Caenorhabditis elegans: one gene and its partner. The protein of the gene in region 1 purifies or fractionates together with the protein of each later gene. This does not show direct contact. Each region holds a gene or a part of one and is shown on either strand. Other genes may lie near its edges.

The links.
Region 2: the proteins of pkg-2 (region 1) and mrpl-49 fractionate together in Caenorhabditis elegans (co-fractionation; one large-scale study listed by BioGRID). This does not show direct contact.

Annotation. Positions count from the first base shown.
Region 1 is NC_003282.8:8,518,907-8,524,154, reverse strand, and holds the start of pkg-2 (cGMP-dependent protein kinase), read right to left. Parts: upstream 3,262-5,248; 5' UTR 3,260-3,261; coding exon 3,087-3,259; intron 1,553-3,086; exon of another isoform or gene 1,484-1,552; coding exon of another isoform or gene 1,419-1,483; intron 863-1,418; coding exon 696-862; intron 636-695; coding exon 522-635; intron 365-521; exon of another isoform or gene 344-364; intron 1-343.
Region 2 is NC_003283.11:12,726,512-12,730,093, reverse strand, and holds mrpl-49 (Large ribosomal subunit protein mL49), read right to left. Parts: upstream 1,464-3,582; coding exon 1,337-1,463; intron 1,293-1,336; coding exon 1,158-1,292; intron 1,117-1,157; coding exon 962-1,116; intron 913-961; coding exon 766-912; 3' UTR 677-765; downstream 1-676. Other genes in the region: zfyv-19 (FYVE-type domain-containing protein), read right to left, coding at 1-42, 89-265, 323-469, 514-573; rpl-28 (Large ribosomal subunit protein eL28), read left to right, coding at 1,987-2,188, 2,235-2,413; R11D1.13 (DUF148 domain-containing protein), read right to left, coding at 2,511-2,549, 2,592-2,702, 2,745-2,882.

The DNA of each region.
Region 1 (5,248 bases):
CCTTAGATCAAACCTCGTAAATGATGTATTGTTCAATTCGTCATTTTTTGTTTTGCCTGTTAGTTGAAAAACAAGGGACTGTCTATCACTGATATGCCGGAAAACAGAGATAAACGTCTTTGAGATTTGAAATTTGAAATTTGAAATTACAAGTAATCCCAGAAGAATGTTGTTGTAAACGTTTTTGGGATCGCCGAATGTTGTGATTAAACTTAGTCATTCAGTGAGATATTTGTCAACAAACTATAATAATTTTCTGGTCAGGGTTTATTTTCCAAAAATTCCAAAAAAAAATAGCTCAGAAAAAATAAAATACAAATCTATTATCCTTTTGCAAATCATGCAAGTTGTTGACAGTGTTGTAGCAAGTTTTCGTATTGTTTTTGGATTACTAATTGAATTTGAAACGGGAAATAAATACACCGAAAATAAAAATGAAACATTCTAAAAATAAACAAATATTGTTTATAGTTGAAGGGATCTACAGATTCCTTGAAATACGCGTTTTTTTTCTGATTTACCTCTAACTGTTGCAGTTCTTTCACAGTGATGAAGAATAGCAAGCTCTCCAAATAGTGCTCCATCTTCCATTGTTCGTACAAATCGATTATCCTTCACAACTTGAACTTTTCCTTCTTTAATTGATTTCATTTAATTCATTTTTGAATAATAGCTTTGAAATGACAAGAACTCACCTTGAATAACATACATAATTGATCCAAGATCTCCTTGACGAATAATTATTGCACCAGCTGGAACTTCTACGGGGTACATCGCAGATGAGATTTTCTCAATTTGAGTTGCATCCAAATTACGAAGGAACGAGTTGAGACGCAATGCATTTCCGATTGTTTCGAAAGCTCTGAAAACTAGAAATTATTGAAACGATGCGGAATTTTTTGTTCATTTCGTAAATAATCTTTTAAACTAACCTAATCCTACATTCTCTCACAAGAGGCAAAAAGTAGATGGTAGGCAGGCACTTAAAGACGGACATTCTTACTATAAAAGCCCAGTAAAGCCGAAACTCCAAAATTTAATAAAATTGGCCAATTTAGTAAAATAGTAAATTGGTATTTTGGTCTTTTGATATTTTGCACATAGAAAAGTAGTTCAATTATGCATTTCAAGGAACATTTCTAATGTACGTACAATATTTTCCCAATTAATAAATATTTCGCCCCTATTCTCAACAATAAGGGTTCGAAAGTTCTTTTAACTGATAAAAGAAGCGTAAATATATCTTTGAGAAAATTGAGGACAAGCTAGATATGCTATCAAAGTAAAGTAGTGAGGGTGCAATACTAATAAAAGAAGTACATTGCACGTTTTCTTGTAAAAATCTTTGTGACGTATTGTCTGGGATCTTTGCAAAAATGATGCAGTCAAAAAGTTAAAAAGCAAACATAAGAACGAACCTCTTTGGTATATACCGTTGAGTTCTACTACGGAATAAATCTCTTCTGTAGCGTAAAGATTTCATTTTTCAGATCAAGTTCCCAGAATGGAAATTTTTAATCAAAATCTACCAAAGTTGAATGGTATCCAAATGAAATACAGAGGTCAAGTCCAGAGTTTATATTATCTTGGGACCGCCCATATGAGACACAGTAATCTGTGCGAACTTAGAGAGAAGAAGAAAAACTGAGGAATGAGAGCACAAAAATTCCGTGCAAAGAGCAAAGAAGAGCTCTCTCCCGTTCGAAGCTTCTTATTTCGGAAGAACAAACTGACATGATACCATTCACTTATTCTCATGTCGACTTGAGGGCAAAGCACATGTTTTTTTATCACAATGGACTTGTCTGGTTTCTTTTCGACTCATATTTGACAAGGAGTTTAACATTTTTTCAAGAAAAGTGTAGCAAGAATTTGATGAAAGAGTTTTTGCCAATATCTTTGAACGGCTTGAACTCAATGTACACCAAAATATTGTGATTTTTTGATATTGCAGTTTTTGGAGAATTGGAACGATTTGTCCAGTATGTTTAGCCACGTAGGGTCATAATACAAGTTAAAGAACCTAGCTTTATGTTGAAATAGAGTATTATCAAAATGTTTGAATCTGTCATTAAAAATATTGATAAACCTCTATAACACCCCAGAAAATAGGCACTGGATCGCCCAAAATCCGGAAACACCGGGCACCAGGTTTAGTCCGGTTTACCAACTCTACCTTAGACTATTTTGTATATTTAATCCCCACTCACGCTACTCAATCTTTGACAAATTATCAGACACTTAGTTTGAAACTTTACTGTAAATTTTCGTAATCTCGGACAAGGTGACCAGCTAGACATATTTTTGCATCTTTGACAAATATTTTGAAAAAATATGGTAAAGGCGTTTTTTTTAATCTAGCTATTTAATAAACATTTGTTTTTGGTATACCAAAACTTGAAAAAAAAAGTTCATTTAAAAATCATTGTCATGAGTCTATGTTCTGTAATTATTTATGTCAACACCATGTTATAAACGAGGATTCTTATTTTTCTAGGTTACATTCTTGTTGACTTGGAGATTATCTATTTTGAGAAAATTATATGTTTATCAAAAAAATAAATTTTACAAAATTGATGTGATGGGCTTTATTCTGAGGTGTTCGCCTATAGACACTCAGTCAAGAGCGAGTCACGGCAACTCGGTCCAAAACCATTTCTAATTAGTAAACTCTCAAAAACCACAACTAATTAGCTTAAAACCATTGTAAATTAGCTTATTTTTGCTAATTAGCAATGATTTTAAGCTAATTAGTTGTGGTTTTTGAGAGTTTACTAATAGTTTACTAGCTTATTTTTGCTAATTAGCAATGATTTTAAGCTAATTAGTTGTGGTTTTTGAGAGTTTACTAATTAGAAATGGTTTTGGACCGAATTGCCGTGACTCGCTCTTGACTGAGCACCGTTCCAAAATTTTGGTTTTATCACGTAATTGGTGTGTTCTCTATTGTATTATGAGCCTACGTGGCTAAACATAAGTATTTTTACTGTAGTTTGACTTGTGTATCTATTACGTGGCAAATATAAGTCAGTTATAGAAAAGCAGATGGAGTTTTGAGATGAGCTTGAAACAGAAAAAAAACTAACGCATCACTTTTTCCAATAATTGGTCTTTTGACTTGAATATCCGGTTCAGAAGAGATTGCAGTTTTTCTTGTTGTATTCATCATTCGATATTCATCAAGTTCCTTTCTCAGCTGTTCAATTATGTCATCCTTCAGCTCCAGCTCGGCGAGCAATGCTTCACGTGTGAAATCCATTACTGAATAACGGAAACGATCGTGAATCATTTTGATGTTTAATCAGAGGAAATATTTTAGTGAGGAGAAGAATAAACCAAGAATTTCAGAAAATGGTGAGACGAAAGATGATGATGATATGCTAATGAAGTGATGAAGCCAACGAAAATTTTTTTGGAGATGGGGCTAAACGGAAATATGGACTAATTGAAGGAAGGTGATGGGGTAAATATTCAAATGAACGTGTTTTTGTTTTCGAATTTTTGATTAAATATGTCTCAAAGAACATTTGAAGGTCTGTCTGTGTGTCTGTTTGTCTGTAGGGGATATTTGTATGTACCTAGTGGGTGTAGGTGTGAAATCATTATTGTTCACATCATTCTTGTTTATTCTACTTATTAAACAATGTTTTCTCAGCTTTCCACCTACTCGAATTTGTTTTTTAAGAGTTTTTTAAACTGTCTTTGTAGATTTAATAGTTTAAATTTTTAATCTAAATATTTAGTAAAATTTAAAGGTTCCACACTGCACTGCATTTGCGACTATTTCAAAAATTATTTATAGCAACTTCAATTTTTTTAAATCACATTTTGCATGAACTTACGGATGAAGTCTATTATCTCTAAAACTCCTACTTGCTATCCAAAAAATTCTCCCAATCTTTCTATATTTATCTTCATTGGACTCAACGTTGACCTCTCTGTCGGTGCACTGAATTTTTGCAACTTTTCTTTTTTGTATTTCCGAAAAATGCGAAAAGTCTCACAATGTGCTGGTCATGTATTAGATAGTACAGTAATTAGAGAGATGGGGTGAGAAAACAGAAGGAATGGAGGAGGAAGCTGAAAAGCAAACAGATGAGAAGTAAAATGAAGAGATGATGACGATAAACGGACAACACAGGGAGCACACTGGTGGGGTCAATCAACGATAAAAATGTTGTATAATATGATTATGAAAATTCTTTAAAAGAATCCACTAACTTGGATTTTGTTAAACTAAAGTAGTAAGGTAAATGCAAAATAACGTCACTATAGCTTTAAACTTTTATAATATCTGATTTGGTTATTCGTAGCTCAAAATTCAACCGGTCGAGCCATCACTGCTTCATTTTCATGTCTCATTCAGAGACTTTTTCGTTGCAGTTCTTTTTCTGAAACTCTTTAAGATTTAATGCTCACAAGACATGGTTACTATGATAAATTATATGAAAACCCGTTTATCTTCACAAATTTCGTCGTAAATACTTCATACCAGTTTATAAAATTAGTTTTATAGTATGTACAAGAACAACAAACAAAATTTGATATGTCGAAATATCTAAGATACTTGGTTTTAATTACTACTTTTGTAATTAGTGTGCTAGTAAATGTTCAAGATTTTTGAACAATATAACTGTACGAAATTCTAGAGAACAAAACAATTGCACTCAATCTGAAATATTTTGGTTTACAAAGAAAGTCAAAACAAATTATGATAACAATTGATAAGTAGGTTTACATGAAAATCCAACAAAAAACTTTTCTTGAAGTAAATAAGGGAAAAGTAAGAGTCTCTTCTTTCTAACTGAAAAACTCTTATTGTATATACCCCTGAGGGTGAATACGTCAAAAGAATGTATGTGGGTGAGAAATCCTTTTGAATCAAAACCGAAAAAAAGAATCTTTCGAGACTTCTCATTCGGGGGAATGTGTGTGAATATTGAGAACCAAAAATCGGGAAAAGATTTGAAACAAAAAGTTTCCGTTTCGAGGCTTTAATAGTGAGAGGGAAGCAATGAATGAGTTCCATTGGGAGCACTTTTTGTGCCGAAATATTTAAACTTTCGACTTTTGCCACAATTTCATGTTGTTCAACTCTTTTTCTCCTTTTTTTTAGGTTTTTGAAAAAAGAGTTGTGAATATTCTATGAACATTGAGACATTTTAATGGCTCAGATCGGCCAAAAGAGCACTAAGACAATTGAAATAAGAGAGTGAGGATAAAATAGAGAGTACCACATATATTATAA
Region 2 (3,582 bases), on another chromosome or scaffold:
TTTAAGTCTTCGCTGTTCCAGGTCATTGGTCGGATAATTTGGCTGAAAACTGAAAAATAAATTAAGAAAATTCCGTGACGCTAATTACCTTGGTCTGCTGCGATGGAATTTCTGGCGAATTCCTGAATTTAGTTGCTTTGACTTCACTATTTTTAATCTGATTTTGATTTGTGTGCGAATTCCTGAATGATGGCGGTGGAAGTCCATCACCCCACCAATTTTTATTCGATTTATTCGAATTATCTGGTAGAGGCGTTGATGTTATCTGAAAAAAATCGTGGGATTAATATCTATTTAGTTTTTACTTTGTTCTTTTTCTTACAGTCGCGCTGGGCTTCATTTTGGCAGATTCCAATTTTTGATAGCAATTGTTACAGACAATCATTGGTAAATCCGAAAGTGTGGGAATAATTGCACGATGAGGCAGACATTTCTTACAGAAGGAGAGAGCACAATTCGAGCAGCCGGCCTGAAAAAATAGAAATTAATTAGTTTTTGATGCCAGAAAATAACTTCTCTGTTTAATAATGAATATTTAGTTCTGCAGTTTGTGCAACAAATTGAGGAAGGCATTCTAGAGAAGAATTTCGGCATTTCGCAATGATACAAAATGAAGAGAATAAGGAAATGACGGTGAAATAACCGGTTTGAAGGTAAAAATGATAAAGTAGACAATTGAATTTTTCTAGTTCATTCTCCAACAATAAATTCACAACAAAACAAATCTGCCTAGATAAAAAACTAAAAGATATATCAAGAATACATCTAGAATCCTTTGCTGTAGAAGAATTGCTCAATAAGAACACGTGGAGCTCCTTTAATTTTGATACGACCTTTCAACTCATCGACGTGACTGGCGATCGAATGTCCAAGATGTTCTTCAAGATAGGAGCGGAGATCATTTTCGCAAGCCTGAAAGATATTTATGTTGATTCAGGATTTAATAATGTTCCCAACTTACAAAAATGTCTCCGTCGACGTTTCTGATAGTTACTAGCTCGACATAATCAAAATCCAACGTTTTCTCATTCAGTAAATCCCTTTTTCGTTCCAAATAAAGAGGAAGAAGATGGTCATGACGACGTCGAATGTAGTATTGATGTGTCTTGGCTGCTTCTGAAATATTTCGATGCGGTATGAATTTAATCTGTATATACCTGTCGGTGGTGTCCATCCGCTTGGTGTAGGATACTTTTCGTGCTCAGGAACATTCGGCACCACTTCTATTGGCATCAATCTTTCCACATACGACCAATCGATAGGAGCTTCTTCGACCGTTGCAAGACTTCTGGCTGTAATTGCTAGTAGAAAAATTATATGATAATAAATAACTTACACTTTTCAGGGAGAGCATGTTTCCATGGATTTTCCCAAAGTTTCTCAGCTTTTTCGACTGAAGTTGTTGAAAAAGACAACCTGGAAACTGCTCGAGGGGAGAAAATGCGGAGAGAAGAACCCAGCATCTTAATAAAATTATATAATTTTGAATAAAATCAAATTAAAAATAAGATTAATTGAAACACAACAATAGAATGCAGAAAATTACTCATAAGAAATAATTTATTTTGAAAGAAGTTGTGTCGATTTACGATAAAAACTACACGCAAACGAGGCTCCGCGTTTACACCGTTTGGCAATGGAGCGCGCTTGCTATTAGATTTTAGGCCAGCTCAACGAAAGTTTAATTTATTTTTCTTCTTTTTTTCCATTTTTTTGAGTAAAATATCGAATTTTTTGTATTAATTCTGTAAATTTTATAATTTGCAACTATTTTGGCGTATTCTGCTTGTTTTTATCAGCGAATTTTTATGCATTTCAGTCAAAAGTTTGAGCAGGAAAAATGACATTTAGGACTTTGTAAAATTGTATTCTTAAATTTGCTTGAAAACCTACGTGTACAATTGATTTTATTGAATTTTTCTTACGTTTCCCGTTGTATCTTATTGTATTTAACTTTCATCATAAAATAATTTATTTCCAGGTAAAATGTCCGACGCTCTCGTGTGGCAAGTCATCCGCAACAACAGCGCTTTCCTCAGAACCCAGCGCGGAATCGGAAAGCGATTCTCCACTGAGAAGTTCAACCTCAAGAAGGTGAACAGCCCAAAATACAGTGGACTCGCTAACAAGCACGCCATCGACGTCAGCGCCGCCGCCAAGGGAGTCGTTGTATCTACCAAGAACGAGAGTAAGAGATTTTTTAAAAATTTATTTTTTACACTGTTTTTTCTCAGAGGGAAGACCAGCCAAGGCCGTCACCACCTCCACCTTGAGCAAGACCCCAGTTGCTTCAGTCCGTCGCTTGGCCAAGAACGCCGGATTCAACAAGTTCAACAAGCTCGCTCAACGTCGTGCCGCCGCCATCGTCCGCTCCCAAGTGAAGAAGGCTAAGGTCCAAAAGACTGACGCATAAATGACGTTTGTTACGTTGTTGTTATGAATATAAAGTGTTACAGCTTATCAACACGTTAAAATTTTTTATTCAAAAAAAAAGTGAAAAATCAAGACAATTAGGAGTTGTTCTTTGTGAAGCACTCAATCCATCTTTTCTGGAAAAAATAAATATGTAAAATTTAGATTAGAAATCCTACCTTGTCGTCGTCAGATGCATGTTCATCTAAATATAAATCAATATCTGCCTTCAAAGAATCGATTTCGGTTTTTTTGGCACGCTTGTTCGAGTTAGCAATTTTAATCATTGCCTGAAAAATTTTTCAATATCTAAGAAGTCGTTTTAAAAATACCGAATGTTCGTCGATTACACTTTGAACGCCATCAATGGTTTCTTTTGAAATTCCACATTTTGTCAACATTTGAATCGGGAATCCACCACCTCCAGAGCAAATTGATACGAGAAGAAAGGACAGAATCAAAAATTTCATGTTGAAATAGCACTCAAATCGGCTCAACGTTGAATGGGCATGCATTCGACGAAAGGTCGATCACGACATTTTAGGTTCAGTTGAAACCGGTTATAGGGCATGGTATTTTTTCTCATTTGGATCGGTTCTTTGGGATTATCCTAAGTTGTTGCAAATTTTTCAGCATCGAGAAATATGAAAATGGTGTCTGACTGAAAATTACTGTTTGTTATAATATAATTATGGTTGTAAAAAAGTACACTTCCAAAACTTTGTATTTAGAAATGTTCAGATTTTGAAAAGCACATTCACTTGCTTTTGGAAGAACGAAGTTATTTTCCATTATTTTCCTCTTCTACGATTTTGAAGAGTTTAAAGAGTAATGGTCTCGACACGAGCGGTGAACTGATTTAAAAAGCTTTGAATATCTGCCTTTAAGATTACTGTATTAATTTGCACTGAAATCCATCGATTTTTCTTGTTTTCTTCCAATACTGTATGTTTATTATCAATTTTTGTGATTATTATCAATCTCTCTATGATGTTTCGGCCTTAACTTATTCATGTCTATTCACTATTTATTTTTATTTATTTTTGATCACGATTTGAATCGTAATAAATACAATACAATACAATACAATACTTTGTTTTTACAAGTTCCTTTCTCAATTTTCTGTATTATTTGTATTCAAATTACTCATAATAATAGTTTCAAAAACGA